Elephas maximus indicus: one gene and its partners. The protein of the gene in region 2 purifies or fractionates together with the protein of the main gene of each other region. This does not show direct contact. Links are inferred from orthologs where the notes say so. Each region holds a gene or a part of one and is shown on either strand. Other genes may lie near its edges.

What was found.
Region 1: the proteins of ADRM1 (region 2) and PSMB1 fractionate together in Homo sapiens (co-fractionation; 3 studies listed by BioGRID, with this or other methods). This does not show direct contact. The link is inferred for Elephas maximus indicus from reciprocal best matches to the Homo sapiens genes ADRM1 and PSMB1.
Region 3: the proteins of ADRM1 (region 2) and PSME1 purify together in Homo sapiens (affinity purification with western blotting; 3 studies listed by BioGRID, with this or other methods). This does not show direct contact. The link is inferred for Elephas maximus indicus from reciprocal best matches to the Homo sapiens genes ADRM1 and PSME1.

Annotation. Positions count from the first base shown.
Region 1 is NC_064819.1:243,763,083-243,766,825, forward strand, and holds the start of PSMB1 (proteasome subunit beta type-1), read right to left. Parts: upstream 2,760-3,743; 5' UTR 2,702-2,759; coding exon 2,589-2,701; intron 1-2,588. UniProt on the Homo sapiens protein: Non-catalytic component of the 20S core proteasome complex involved in the proteolytic degradation of most intracellular proteins. This complex plays numerous essential roles within the cell by associating with different regulatory particles.
Region 2 is NC_064843.1:5,654,678-5,658,420, forward strand, and holds the start of ADRM1 (proteasomal ubiquitin receptor ADRM1), read right to left. Parts: upstream 2,777-3,743; 5' UTR 2,693-2,776; intron 1,485-2,692; 5' UTR 1,484-1,484; coding exon 1,271-1,483; intron 572-1,270; coding exon 455-571; intron 1-454. UniProt on the Homo sapiens protein: Component of the 26S proteasome, a multiprotein complex involved in the ATP-dependent degradation of ubiquitinated proteins.
Region 3 is NC_064828.1:35,494,988-35,498,730, forward strand, and holds PSME1 (proteasome activator complex subunit 1), read left to right. Parts: upstream 1-895; 5' UTR 896-1,012; coding exon 1,013-1,051; intron 1,052-1,660; coding exon 1,661-1,693; intron 1,694-1,843; coding exon 1,844-1,906; intron 1,907-2,020; coding exon 2,021-2,131; intron 2,132-2,209; coding exon 2,210-2,255; intron 2,256-2,382; coding exon 2,383-2,480; intron 2,481-2,703; coding exon 2,704-2,772; intron 2,773-2,858; coding exon 2,859-2,926; intron 2,927-3,037; coding exon 3,038-3,092; intron 3,093-3,169; coding exon 3,170-3,256; intron 3,257-3,439; coding exon 3,440-3,520; 3' UTR 3,521-3,666; downstream 3,667-3,743. Other genes in the region: EMC9 (ER membrane protein complex subunit 9), read right to left, coding at 3,716-3,743. UniProt on the Homo sapiens protein: Implicated in immunoproteasome assembly and required for efficient antigen processing. The PA28 activator complex enhances the generation of class I binding peptides by altering the cleavage pattern of the proteasome.

The DNA of each region.
Region 1 (3,743 bases), on a different chromosome or scaffold from region 2:
CTGACCAGGCAGTAAAAAAGTAAGCATTATTTTGTAGAAGCAAAGAGTGGAGTTTTGAGAGTCAGCAGCAATAGACAATAAAGAACAAAGATTTAGAAAAAAATAATAATCAGAAAATTGTAAGAAATTAACTTTTAGAGCAGTAATGACTTAAGCTGGGTTACAAGAGTTTAGAAAGTGAGAAATGAGTTCTGAATACTGACCACCTTGAAAACCCTATCATACAGAATTTATAACTGTTCTATGAAATGGGTCTAAAGGCTGCCTTACAATTTAACAATCACAACAGGAAGCGTTAAGAAGTGCAAGAACATACAAACTCAGCTGTGACAGAGATGAATTCAAGCCCTGCCTCAATCTCACTCCAGCTTCATGACTTCTAAGAGCCCTGGGTTTGTTTGTAAAAACGGGGCTAATATCATTCATCGCTTGGTTACTATAAGGATTAAACAAGAACTGCTTGCCAACTTACCAAATGCTTCTCATTTAATTCTCCCAGAAATGCATGAAGTGGCTAAGGCAGACAAGGAAACGTGGGTTCAAGAAGCTGAGAAAGGTGCCATGTACGGGCAGAACCAGGGCAAAAATCATAGTCTTTCACTCTTGCCAGCACACTCAAAAATTTCGCAACAATATTTGAAATTCATATGGAGCTGATTTCTACTTTTGGTTTTCTCAAAGAATTATTTGTTTGTTCAAATTGTGTTTGTACAAAATTTGGTTGGTAAACCATAACCACTGCTTCAATTTATAGCTCCACAATCCTGATTCTTTCAGTGTAGTATCAGGCAAAAGTGTTACTAAAAAGGCGCTAGTTTAAAAAAAAAAAAAACCCACCTTGAATATATCCCATTAAAAAGTCCCTCTTCTGAGCTTTTTTCTATTTAAGATAAACATTTAAAAGCAAAGAGAAAGACACACTAATTTACAAAAGTAATTCTGATCAATCCCAGCTTCAATTTAAAGTAACAGAAAATGACGAAGCCACTTTTTGGGAAGTGTTGCATCTACAGCCATTACTGGGCGCCCAGCCACCGGGGCCGCCGACCACTGCGCTGTTTCCGACAAGCCTGTCCCCTCGGCCTCTAGCCGGTGAACCGCTCAGACCCGCGAGGCCCTAAGGCGCATTCCGAAGGCATTCCCAGGCCGGAGGATGGATGTCAACCTCTACCCTCCCGACTCTCGCTGCGGAACAGGCTGTGCGTGAAAGCGTCCCTGCGTGCGGAGGCCGGGTCGCCAGGGAAATGAGGTGGCCTTGCCTGTGGAGGCCGGGCCGTCAGGGAATGAGGCGGCCTTGCGTGTGGAAGCCGGGCCGTCAGGGAAGTGAAGCGGGACTGCGTGCAGAGGCCGAGCCGTCAGGGAAGTGAGGCGGCCTTGCGTGTGGAGGCCGGGCCGTCAGGGAAGTGAGGCGGCCTTGAGTGTGGAGGCCGGGCCGTCAGGGAAGTGAGGCGGCCCTGCGTGTGGAGGCCGGGCCGTCAGGGAAGTGAGGCGGCCTTGAGTGTGGAGGCCGGGCCGTCAGGGAAATGAGGCGGCCTTGCGTGTGGAGGCCGGGCCGTCAGGGAAGTGAAGCGGGACTGCGTGCGGAGTCCGGGCCGTCAGGGAAGTGAGGCGGCCTTGCCTGTGGAGTCCGGGCCGTCAGGGAAGTGAGGCGGCCCTGCGTGTGGAGGCCGCGCCGTCAGGGAAGTGAGGCGGCCTTGCGTGTGGAGGCCGGGCCGTCAGGGAAATGAGGCGGCCCTGCGTGTGGAAGCCGGGCCGTCAGGGAAGTGAAGCGGGACTGCGTGCGGAGGCCGGGCCGTCAGGGAAGTGAGGCGGCCTTGCCTGTGGAGGCCGGGCCGTCAGGGAAATGAGGCGGCCCTGCGTGTGGAGGACGGGCCGTCAGGGAAATGAGGCGGCCCTGCGTGTGGAAGCCGGGCCGTCAGGGAAGTGAGGCGGCCCTGCGTGCGGAGGCCGGGCCGTCAGGGAAGTGAGGCGGCCTTGCGTGCGGACCGGGCCGTTAGGGAAGCGAGGCGGCCTTGAGTGCGCAGGCCGGGCCGTCAGGGAAGTGAAGCGGCACTGCGTGCGGAGGCCGGGCCGTCAGGGAAGTGAGGCGGCCTTGCCTGTGGAGGCCGGGCCGTCAGGGAAATGAGGCGGCCCTGCGTGTGGAGGACGGGCCGTCAGGGAAATGAGGCGGCCCTGCGTGTGGAAGCCGGGCCGTCAGGGAAGTGAGGCGGCCCTGCGTGCGGAGGCCGGGCCGTCAGGGAAGTGAGGCGGCCTTGCGTGCGGACCGGGCCGTTAGGGAAGCGAGGCGGCCTTGAGTGCGCAGGCCGGGCCGTCAGGGAAGTGAAGCGGCACTGCGTGTGGAGGCCGGGCCGTCAGGGAAGTGAGGCGGCCTTGCGTGCAGACGCCGGGCCGTCAGGGAAGTGAGGCGGGACCGCGTGCGGAGGCCGGGCCGTCAGGGAAACCCAGGCCGTGCGCCCAAGCCGGAGCGAATCCCAGCAGCGGCGGGAAGGGCACGCAGGGAGTTGGCGCCCTCACACCCGCGACCCCAGAGGCGCTGCGGTAGCGAGGGAAACGACGGCGGAAGGGAGCGCGCGCTCCCAGGGCGTTACCCTCCGTTGAAGGCGTAGGGCGAAAAGCGCAGCTGCAAGGGCCCCGCGGCGCCGAAAGTCTCCATTCCCAGGTCGCGGCCGAGCGCAGGAAACACAGCAGCGGAGGACAACATCGCGCAGCGCCTGCGACTGCTGTCTCACAGCAATATGGCGGCTCCGACCGGAAGCGGGCCGCTCTGCTCTGCACTCGCTGCCGACAGGAAACGGATCCGCTTCCGGTCTCCGGCGCGCGGCGGGCCTCTCTGCCCCACGCTCTTCGTTGCTCCCGGAAGCCAGCGCCCCTGGCTTTTTGGTAGTGGCGCCAGGTGTTACAGAAAGCCCACATAGGTGTCAGGGTTTTCTTAAGAAACCGCTCGAATTCACTCCAGGTGGACAAAATTTAAAAAGTCTGACCATACCAAAAAAACTAGCAAACACGTGGAACGACAGAAACTCGAGTACACTCTTGGTTGTTGTTAGGTGCAAATCAAGTCGGTTCGGACTTATAGCGACCCTATGTACAACAGAAAGAAAGAGCCCGGTCATGCACCATCCTCATGATCGTTGTTAGCTTTGAGCCCATTTTTGCAGCCACTGTGTCAGTCCATCTCATTAAGGGTCTTTTTAGCTGGCCTTCTACCTTACCAAGCATGATGTCCTTCTCTAGGACTGATCCTCCTGACCACTATCCAAAAAGCGTAATGAGATGAAGTCTCACCCTTCTCCCTTCTAGAGGAGCACGCTGGCTGTACTTCAACACAGATGCGCGCATTTTTCTGGCTGGAAGAAATCCATATACATTTCCATTCCGAAGAGAAGTGATCCAACGGAATGCGGAAATCATCAAACAATATGATTAATATCAGAAGCCCTGGTGGCGCCATGATTAAAGCGCTGGGCTACTAACCGAAAGGTCAGCAGTTGGAACCCACCAGCTGCTCCTTGGAGGAAAGACGTGGCAGTCAGCTTCAGTAGAGATTACAACCATGGATACCCTATGGGGCAGTTCTACTCTACCTTGTAGGATCATAATCCACTTGATGGCAACATGTTTTGGTTTATCATTAATATCACATGCAAGTAAAATTATGCTGAAGATAATTCAAAAATGGTTGACAGGGAACTTCCAGAAATTCAAGCCAGATTCAGAAAAGGTCATGGAATGAAGGATGTCAT
Region 2 (3,743 bases):
TTGGCAAAGCTGTGGAGAGACACGCTCTACACCAGGGTTGGCAACCACAGCCTCCACCTGTTTTTGTAAATAACATTTTATCGACACACAGCCATGCCCACTCATTCACGAGCTGGCCTTGGCAGCTTTGAAGCTGCTGCAGCAAAGCTGAGCAGTCGTGACAGAAACCACGGGGTCCACAGGGTGGGAAGCACTTCCTTCCTAGTCCTTCCCAGGAACAGCTGATGCCTTGCTCTAGTGCCTGGGGGGAGGGGGAGGTCAGCCTCCGGGGGGGCCGTGGGGGTCTGTGTCAAAACCACAAACACGCATATACAACAAGCAAGTCCGCTTCTAGACTTTTAACAGGAAGATGGCGCACAGGAACAGCCTATACAAGGTTACCCTTGAGCCAAATTCCCAATCTACCTCATGATGCTGAGAACAGGCAGTACAGGAAGCAGGGCCTCCCACCTACCTGCATCCAGAAGAAGAGCCGCTTGGATCCTGCCTTAAACTTGAGCACGTAGACCCTCCCACTGGGGCACTGAGGCACCCGCTTAAATTCACAGTCGTCGGGGAAGATAATCAAGTCCTACAGAGGAACACGAGGGGAGGCAAGAGCAAGCTTAACACAAGCAAACCTTCAAGGCTCCCGACTGCTCGAGAAGACACGGCAGAGCCTGTGTGTCAGAGTGTGAGACAGATCAGTTGCCAGAGCCCCTCACTATCGGAGTCTCCACAGGGACGGGGTCTCCACAGGGAAGAGGAGCCAGCCTCCGACGCCCACTGTGAGGGCGGACCCTCAGGTGAGGGCTGGGGGGCAGGGCAGGCACTCACAGCAGGGGCTCAGGTGGGTTCAAAGGGTACTTTACAGTTCTGCCCCATGTCATCACCTTTCAAAAGCTTGTTGTTTTTTATAAAATAAATGGTGATTTTCAAATATTTTCAGTATCACCACCATTTAGTTTTGTAGACAGTTAGAAGGTCAGCTCTGATCCACTCTCAGACGTAACAAAGATCAATCCATCGCGGACAGCAAAGAACGCAGAGTGACAAGCACTAGCAGACAAAGCTTCCTCGAGAATCTAACAGAGGAAAGACCTCCACTTCACACCTGATGGCTAAAGTACAAGCAGTGATGACCTACGACCCTGCAAGACTGGGACGCTCCAGAAGCAAGTGAAACGGCTGATGGCGGACACCAACCCAGCAACCCCATGCAAAAACCAAGCCCCAAAGACCACCCCAGCCACCCGCCGGCAGCCGTGGCGTCCAGGTGGCGGACACTCACGTCCTCCACGCTGCCCGACGTCCTGTCCTTCCAGCAGAAGTGAATGAGGGAGTCGTCGGTCTGCTGAATGTACACCAACCCCTTCCGCTTGTCCGGGGTGACCGTCGTTCCTTTCAGGGACATTTTTCCTGCCCGAAACTCCACCAAATACTTGTTGGAGGAGCCGCGGGAGCCTGGCACCAGGCTTGGAAAGAGAGCGCCTGAAGTCGTCATCCTGAAAAAGGAGAGGTGGCACTTAGACCCCACGTGTGCCAACGTGGTGTACTGCCAAAACTCTCCATTTCCTCTGCAAACATTGCTGCTTGCACGGATGGGGACAAAAGCCCCCAGGGTGCGCCGTGCCCCCACACCAGGGTTGGTCCCACTCCAGCTCCACCCGCCCTCCCAGGATCAATGCTGAGCTTCTTTTCATGTTTCCCAAAGAGCAAAACCGAAGTGCACGGACACCCGTCACCCCAGAGTGCATGGGCCCTGTGGGCGGCACTCTCTTACAAACTCTTGTTGGTTTTTCGTTCTGAGAGCCATAGAACTCAAAACACTTGAGCTGAGGTGGCCTCATACTAACCCCTCAGCCCCAGGACAGGCCATGGGCACAGTGACCTCGCCTTTCTGCTTTAACACAGCAACGCTGCAAGTATGACCCTTAAAAAAGAGAAGCTGGCCACTGGGCTGGAGAACACGCAGCCCCTAACTTGGCTATTTCATGGAGTGGTGCCCCAGATCTTCTCACAAAGGCAGAATTGAAGGCAGCAGCTCATGGTTGTCCCACCTCTGCGCTTGGGTAAAGAGGAACCCCGATTTCACCAAAAGCCTGTGGCTTCTGAACTTAGCGAATGAGGGCTGGGGGTGGTGGGGATCCCTGGGAAACCCCACCCTGGGGCCTAAGGAAGTGCTGGGCTCGGAGGAGCAGAAAAGGCAGCAGCCAGGACCCCCCTCCCCCCAGAACCCCCACCCGAGGGCTCCTAGCCTAAGGACCCCCTCCACACACACTTCTCCCTCGCCCCCCCGCCCCCCATCCCTGGACCACCGCCCCCAGAGGCCCCAGCCAAGGACCCCTTCCCCTCACACCCTCCTCCCTCGCACCCCTGCCCTCACCCCCAGGACCCCCTCCCCTCACATCCTCCTCCCTCGCACCTCTGCTCGCACCCACAGGATCTCCTCCCCTCACATCCTCCTCCCTCGCACCCCTTCCCTCACCCCCAGGACCCCCTCCCCTCGCACCCCTTCCCTCACCCCCAGGACCCCTGCTCCACGGACCCCCGACCCGGCTCCCCCTCCCCCGCAGGACCCTCTCAGGCCTAAGGTCCCTCCCGCGGGGTCGCAAGCTGCGCCGCCCCCGCCCCTCTGGGCCGGTCCCTGCCCCTCCGAGCCGGTCCCCACACCACGGGCAGCACCCCGCCCCCCGGCCGCCCCCGGGGGCACCTGGCTGCGCCGACGCTAGGCCGAGAAGCGATGCCCGAGCTCGCTCTTCCTCCTCCGCGGCGGCCGGGCCCCGCCGGAAGCCCGCACTCGCCCCGCCTGACCCGCTGCGCCGCCTGCCGATTGGTCCTGCGCGGGCTCGCGGCCCGCCCCTCGCCGCGAGCGACTGGCCCGAGTGGCCGCCCATCGCTCGGCCCCGCCCCGTGCAGGCTGCCGCGGCGCGCAGGAAGCGGGCGGCGGGGGCCAGAGAGGCCGCTATTGTTGCTGTGTCATAGGGGGCGGCGGCGGCCCCTGGCGGCGGCGCCGGGAACCGCAGGCCGGGCTGCGGGGGCCCGTGTCCCAGCCAACAGCGTCACCTCTGGCGACGCCGCGACCCCTGCGTGCCACTGGCCCGCGGGGCACGGGCGCACTTAAGGGGCAGGCAGGGTTCGGCGCGGGGTCGCGACCAGGGCCCTAAACACGGCCGACCGCATCAGTGCTAGGCATCGTACCACCGTGCAGGGCTTCGGCTGCACCCACGCCCTGCAGGTGTTTCGACGGGCAGGAGCCTCGGCTGGGCCCACGCCCCGCAGGTGTTCGGAGGGTCAGGGGCCTCGGCTGCGCCCACGTCCCGCAGGTGTGGGAGGGGCAGGGCCCTGGTCCACAGGCTGTTGGCGCTCAGGCCAGCAGGCCGACCGTCCATCCAGGATGCCCCCTGTGTACACAGAGCAATGACCTGGGAGCCCTGATCAGGCCTCTAAGATTCCTGATTCAGTGCTGCAAGATGCCGAGGCCAAAGATAGAAAGTCACAAAGTTAAAAAGGTAGGAGTCTTGTGACACTGGAGCTGGGAAAATGTCAGCTCCGTGTTACTTTGAGTTAATTTGACATAAAAGCAAAGGCAACGAGGGAACACCTGGGAGCAGGAGCCTGCTGATGAACAAACCGATCAGTTTGCTGGGATTTGCTTAAAGCTGCCTGAAGCAGGGGTTCTGAGAGTATGGTCCCGGAGCCCCCTTTTCTGTAATAGCCTGGGATGTAGTCTGCCTTTCTCACTCCAGTCTCCCCAGAGAGCA
Region 3 (3,743 bases), on a different chromosome or scaffold from region 2:
ACAAGACACTCTTGAAAAGCAAATGGCAAGTGCAGGTATTTGCAAGTGTAATGAATGAGGGGAAAAGCAGCAGAAAGTGAAGTTGGACGGGACACAGGTTGCAGCTGCCACGCAGGGGCTTAGAATGGAGCCTTTTGGATTTCATTCTAAGGTCAACAGGAGATTGTGAAATGGTTTTAAGCAAGTGAGGGACATGATACCGCTGCTGTGTGGAGAGTGGGTTACAAAGGAATGCAGATATAACACTGGTCCGGGTGAGAACTGATGAAAGCTTACATCCGGATGGCGCCAGAGTCTAAGGGTCGCCGCATGGTCGAGGGAGCCAAGGGTCCACGTTGGCCGGGATAAAAGCAGACCAGGTCTTGCTTCAACTCAGAAAAGATGTGGAAGGGGCCCAAGTAAGGCTTATCACTGTCCCAGGTCGAACAGGGGATGAAAAGAGCCGGCGGGGGTCTCAGGAGCCAGGGGTCAGGGAAATCAGAAGCTGGAAGGCGGGAATGAGGAGGCGAGGAGGCAGGAGGCAAGAGGCGGGGCGTCAAGAGGGAGGAGGTAGAGAGACGAGCTGTGCGGAAGCGAGGATATGGTGAAGGCGGGGCGAGGAGGCGGGAAGTAGAGCGCCGGGCGGCGGGGAGGGTGGAAGCTAGACAGCGGGGAGTCGAAAGAAAGAAGGGGAGGGAGTAGGCCCGGGAGGAGGGGAGGTGGGAGGGGCGGGGCGGGGACGAGAGGAGGAGGGCCGGTGCAGGGAGGCGGGGCCGGGGGCGGGAAGGCGGGGCCTGGGGACTGGAAGGCGGGCCGGGCAAAGGAGGGTTGTGGAGGCTTCTCTCCGGCTGTAATGGGAGCAGCGCCTCCGCTGCCTTCCTCTCCTCCCCCGCCCCTGTCCTCTGTGGTCGGCCCCGCCTCCTTCAGTACCTCCACTACCCAGGAAGGCGGTGCGGGCTGAGAGCTGCTTTCACTTTCCCTTCCCCGTGCCCACTCCTCGCTCCACGCGCGGCGTAAGGCCCCCTCCCCAGCCATGACCACACTCAGGGTCCAGCCTGAAGCCCAAGCCAAGGTGAGCGCAGCAGGTTAAAGGAAGGGCCCTTTAGGGAGGCGTGGCTCAAAGAGGCTGAGGGCAACCCTAACTAGCCTCCAGCCCCCGACACGAGTGAAGGTCAGTCGACCGAGGCCACGCACCCGGAGCACCTGAGCCCACGGGAGATCCTCCAGGCCTGCCTGCGGGAAGAGACGAGGCGACCGTGGTTCAGTGGGGTGAGGTGAAGCGGAGAGCTGGCGTAGAGGGGAAATCCGCTGGCCCGGGGCCGGGGCCACACACAGATGGGGTGCGGGACCTGCCCCTGCTACCTCGTGGCCTTCTCATCAGGTCCCCAAGTCCCATCCCACAGGGTGCTCATTCCTGCCCCAGTCGCAGGGGGCTCTCATACATGTCCTCTTCAGGGTGACCCAGGCAACCCGAGGGATCTGTTCCTACATGAACCACCCACTCTTCTCTGCCAGGAATGCTCTCACCCCCCTAATTGAGCCCCACGGGAATCCACTCCTCCACCACCCGGGTCCACCCCCACCCTTCCCCAGCTCCAGGCCCGATGCAATCCTAAAGGAACTGCTCTCAAATGAATTGGCCTTATAGCCAGGTTTCTGAAAGGTTGCCTATGCCCCACAGGTGAATGTGTTCCGGGAAGACCTGTGTGCCAAGGTAAGACCTGCCCCATCTGTACCCCCACTGGTCCCCAACTCCCACCGCTCAGCCCTCCCTCTCTTGCTGGGCAGCAGTGGCTCTGCATCACTGGCCAGGTGGGCCTTTGATTCTGACCTCTGCCTTCCCCCACTCCCACCTCACACACAGACAGAGAACCTGCTTGGGAGCTATTTCCCCAAGAAGATTTCTGAGTTGGATGCATTTCTAAAGGTACTGGGGCTGGGCAAGGGGCTAGAGAATAGGGGCCAAGGGGAGAGTGGGGGGGGGTCAGAAAGAGGAAGTGAGGACACCCTTGCCTACAGCCCTCTTCTCACCCTGCACCAGGAGCCAGCTCTCAATGAAGCCAACCTGAGCAATCTGAAGGCTCCATTGGACATACCAGTGCCTGACCCAGTCAAGGAGAAAGAGAAGGAGGAGCGGAAGAAACAGCAGGAGGCAAGCTGGGGAGAGGGACCTGATCATGGGGAAAATCAACCTTAGGCCTGACTCTCATGAGCCCCTCTCTCGCTGCAGAAGGAAGACAAGGATGAAAAGAAAAAAGGGGAAGATGAAGACAAAGGTACTTGAAACAACGATGGTGGGAAGGGACTTGAGTCCCACTCCCCAAGAGCTTCTTGCTAAGGATCCCTCCCCTGTCCCCCTCACACAGGCCCAGATATGTTACTGACCCATTGCCTACTCCCCAGGTCCTCCCTGTGGCCCAGTGAGCTGCAATGAGAAGATCGTGGCCCTCTTGCAGCGCCTGAAGCCAGAGATCAAAGACGTCATTGAGCAGCTCAACCTGGTGAGCCCTCCCACTCCCACCTCAGGCTTTAGGTTGAACCCTTTGTCCTCCTTGGTTCTTCCCAGTTAGGGCATGACACTACTAGGTCTTAGCAGGAACAGCATAGCAAGTGAAGCCAGAAGTCCAGGCCCTGGGGCTCAGGATGAACCTATCACACCTCCACCCACCTTGTGGGAATTGGGTGGGGGACTGCTGTGACTTAGATGCCATTCCCTTGTCCCAGGTCACCACCTGGTTGCAGCTGCAGATACCACGGATTGAGGATGGGAACAACTTTGGAGTGGCTGTCCAGGTGAGCATGCTGCCCCATGTCCCTGCCTTTCCTTCCCCTCCAGTCTATATTTCCTTCTACTTTATCCTCTTGCTTGCTTTCTCCAGGAAAAGGTGTTTGAGCTGATGACCACCCTTCACACCAAGCTGGAAGGCTTCCACACCCAAATCTCCAAGTAAGTGATCACCCACCCACACCCACACGCATACTCTGCTTTGGATTGGGGACAGAGGCCAGGGCTCATGCCACCTTCTCCCACTCTACACACTTCTTCCACTTCCCACAGGTATTTCTCTGAGCGGGGTGATGCAGTAACCAAAGCAGCCAAGCAACCCCATGTGGTAGGTAGCACAGGTCGGGATATACGGGGGGATGGACACACTTGGATGAAGTCAGGCTGACCCCAAGTCTCCCTCAGGGTGATTATCGGCAGCTGGTGCATGAGCTGGATGAGGCGGAGTACCGGGACATCCGTCTGAGGATCATGGAGATCCGCAATGCTTACGTGAGGAGGCGAGGGCAGCGCAGGGCAGGGGTGGGCAGAGGCAGCTTTCCCAGGCCACCCGCTCCCAGACCCTGCAGGCTGGGGGTAAAGGGTGACAAAGCGTGGCCTCTTCACAAGGCTGGAAATGGGGCACAGAGCGACTGGCACCTACAGCTGACCCCCCACTCCTCCCTGGCCCTGTAGGCAGTGCTATATGACATCATCCTGAAGAACTTCGAAAAACTCAAGAAGCCCAGGGGAGAAACAAAGGGGATGATTTATTGAGGGCCTCTGCTCTCATTTTTGTGATGAGTGCAACAGAGACCCTCCTGCCTTTTATCGGGGACTCCAGACTTTCCCCCCATTTTTCTCCTGTTGAGGTTTCTCTCTCACCTTGCCATCTAGGCACAATAAATATAATCATACTGTTACCCATCAGCCCAAGTCTCTTTATTGGATCCTGGCCCCACTGACCCTGGCTCAAGCATTTTCATTAGTGGGATCAATC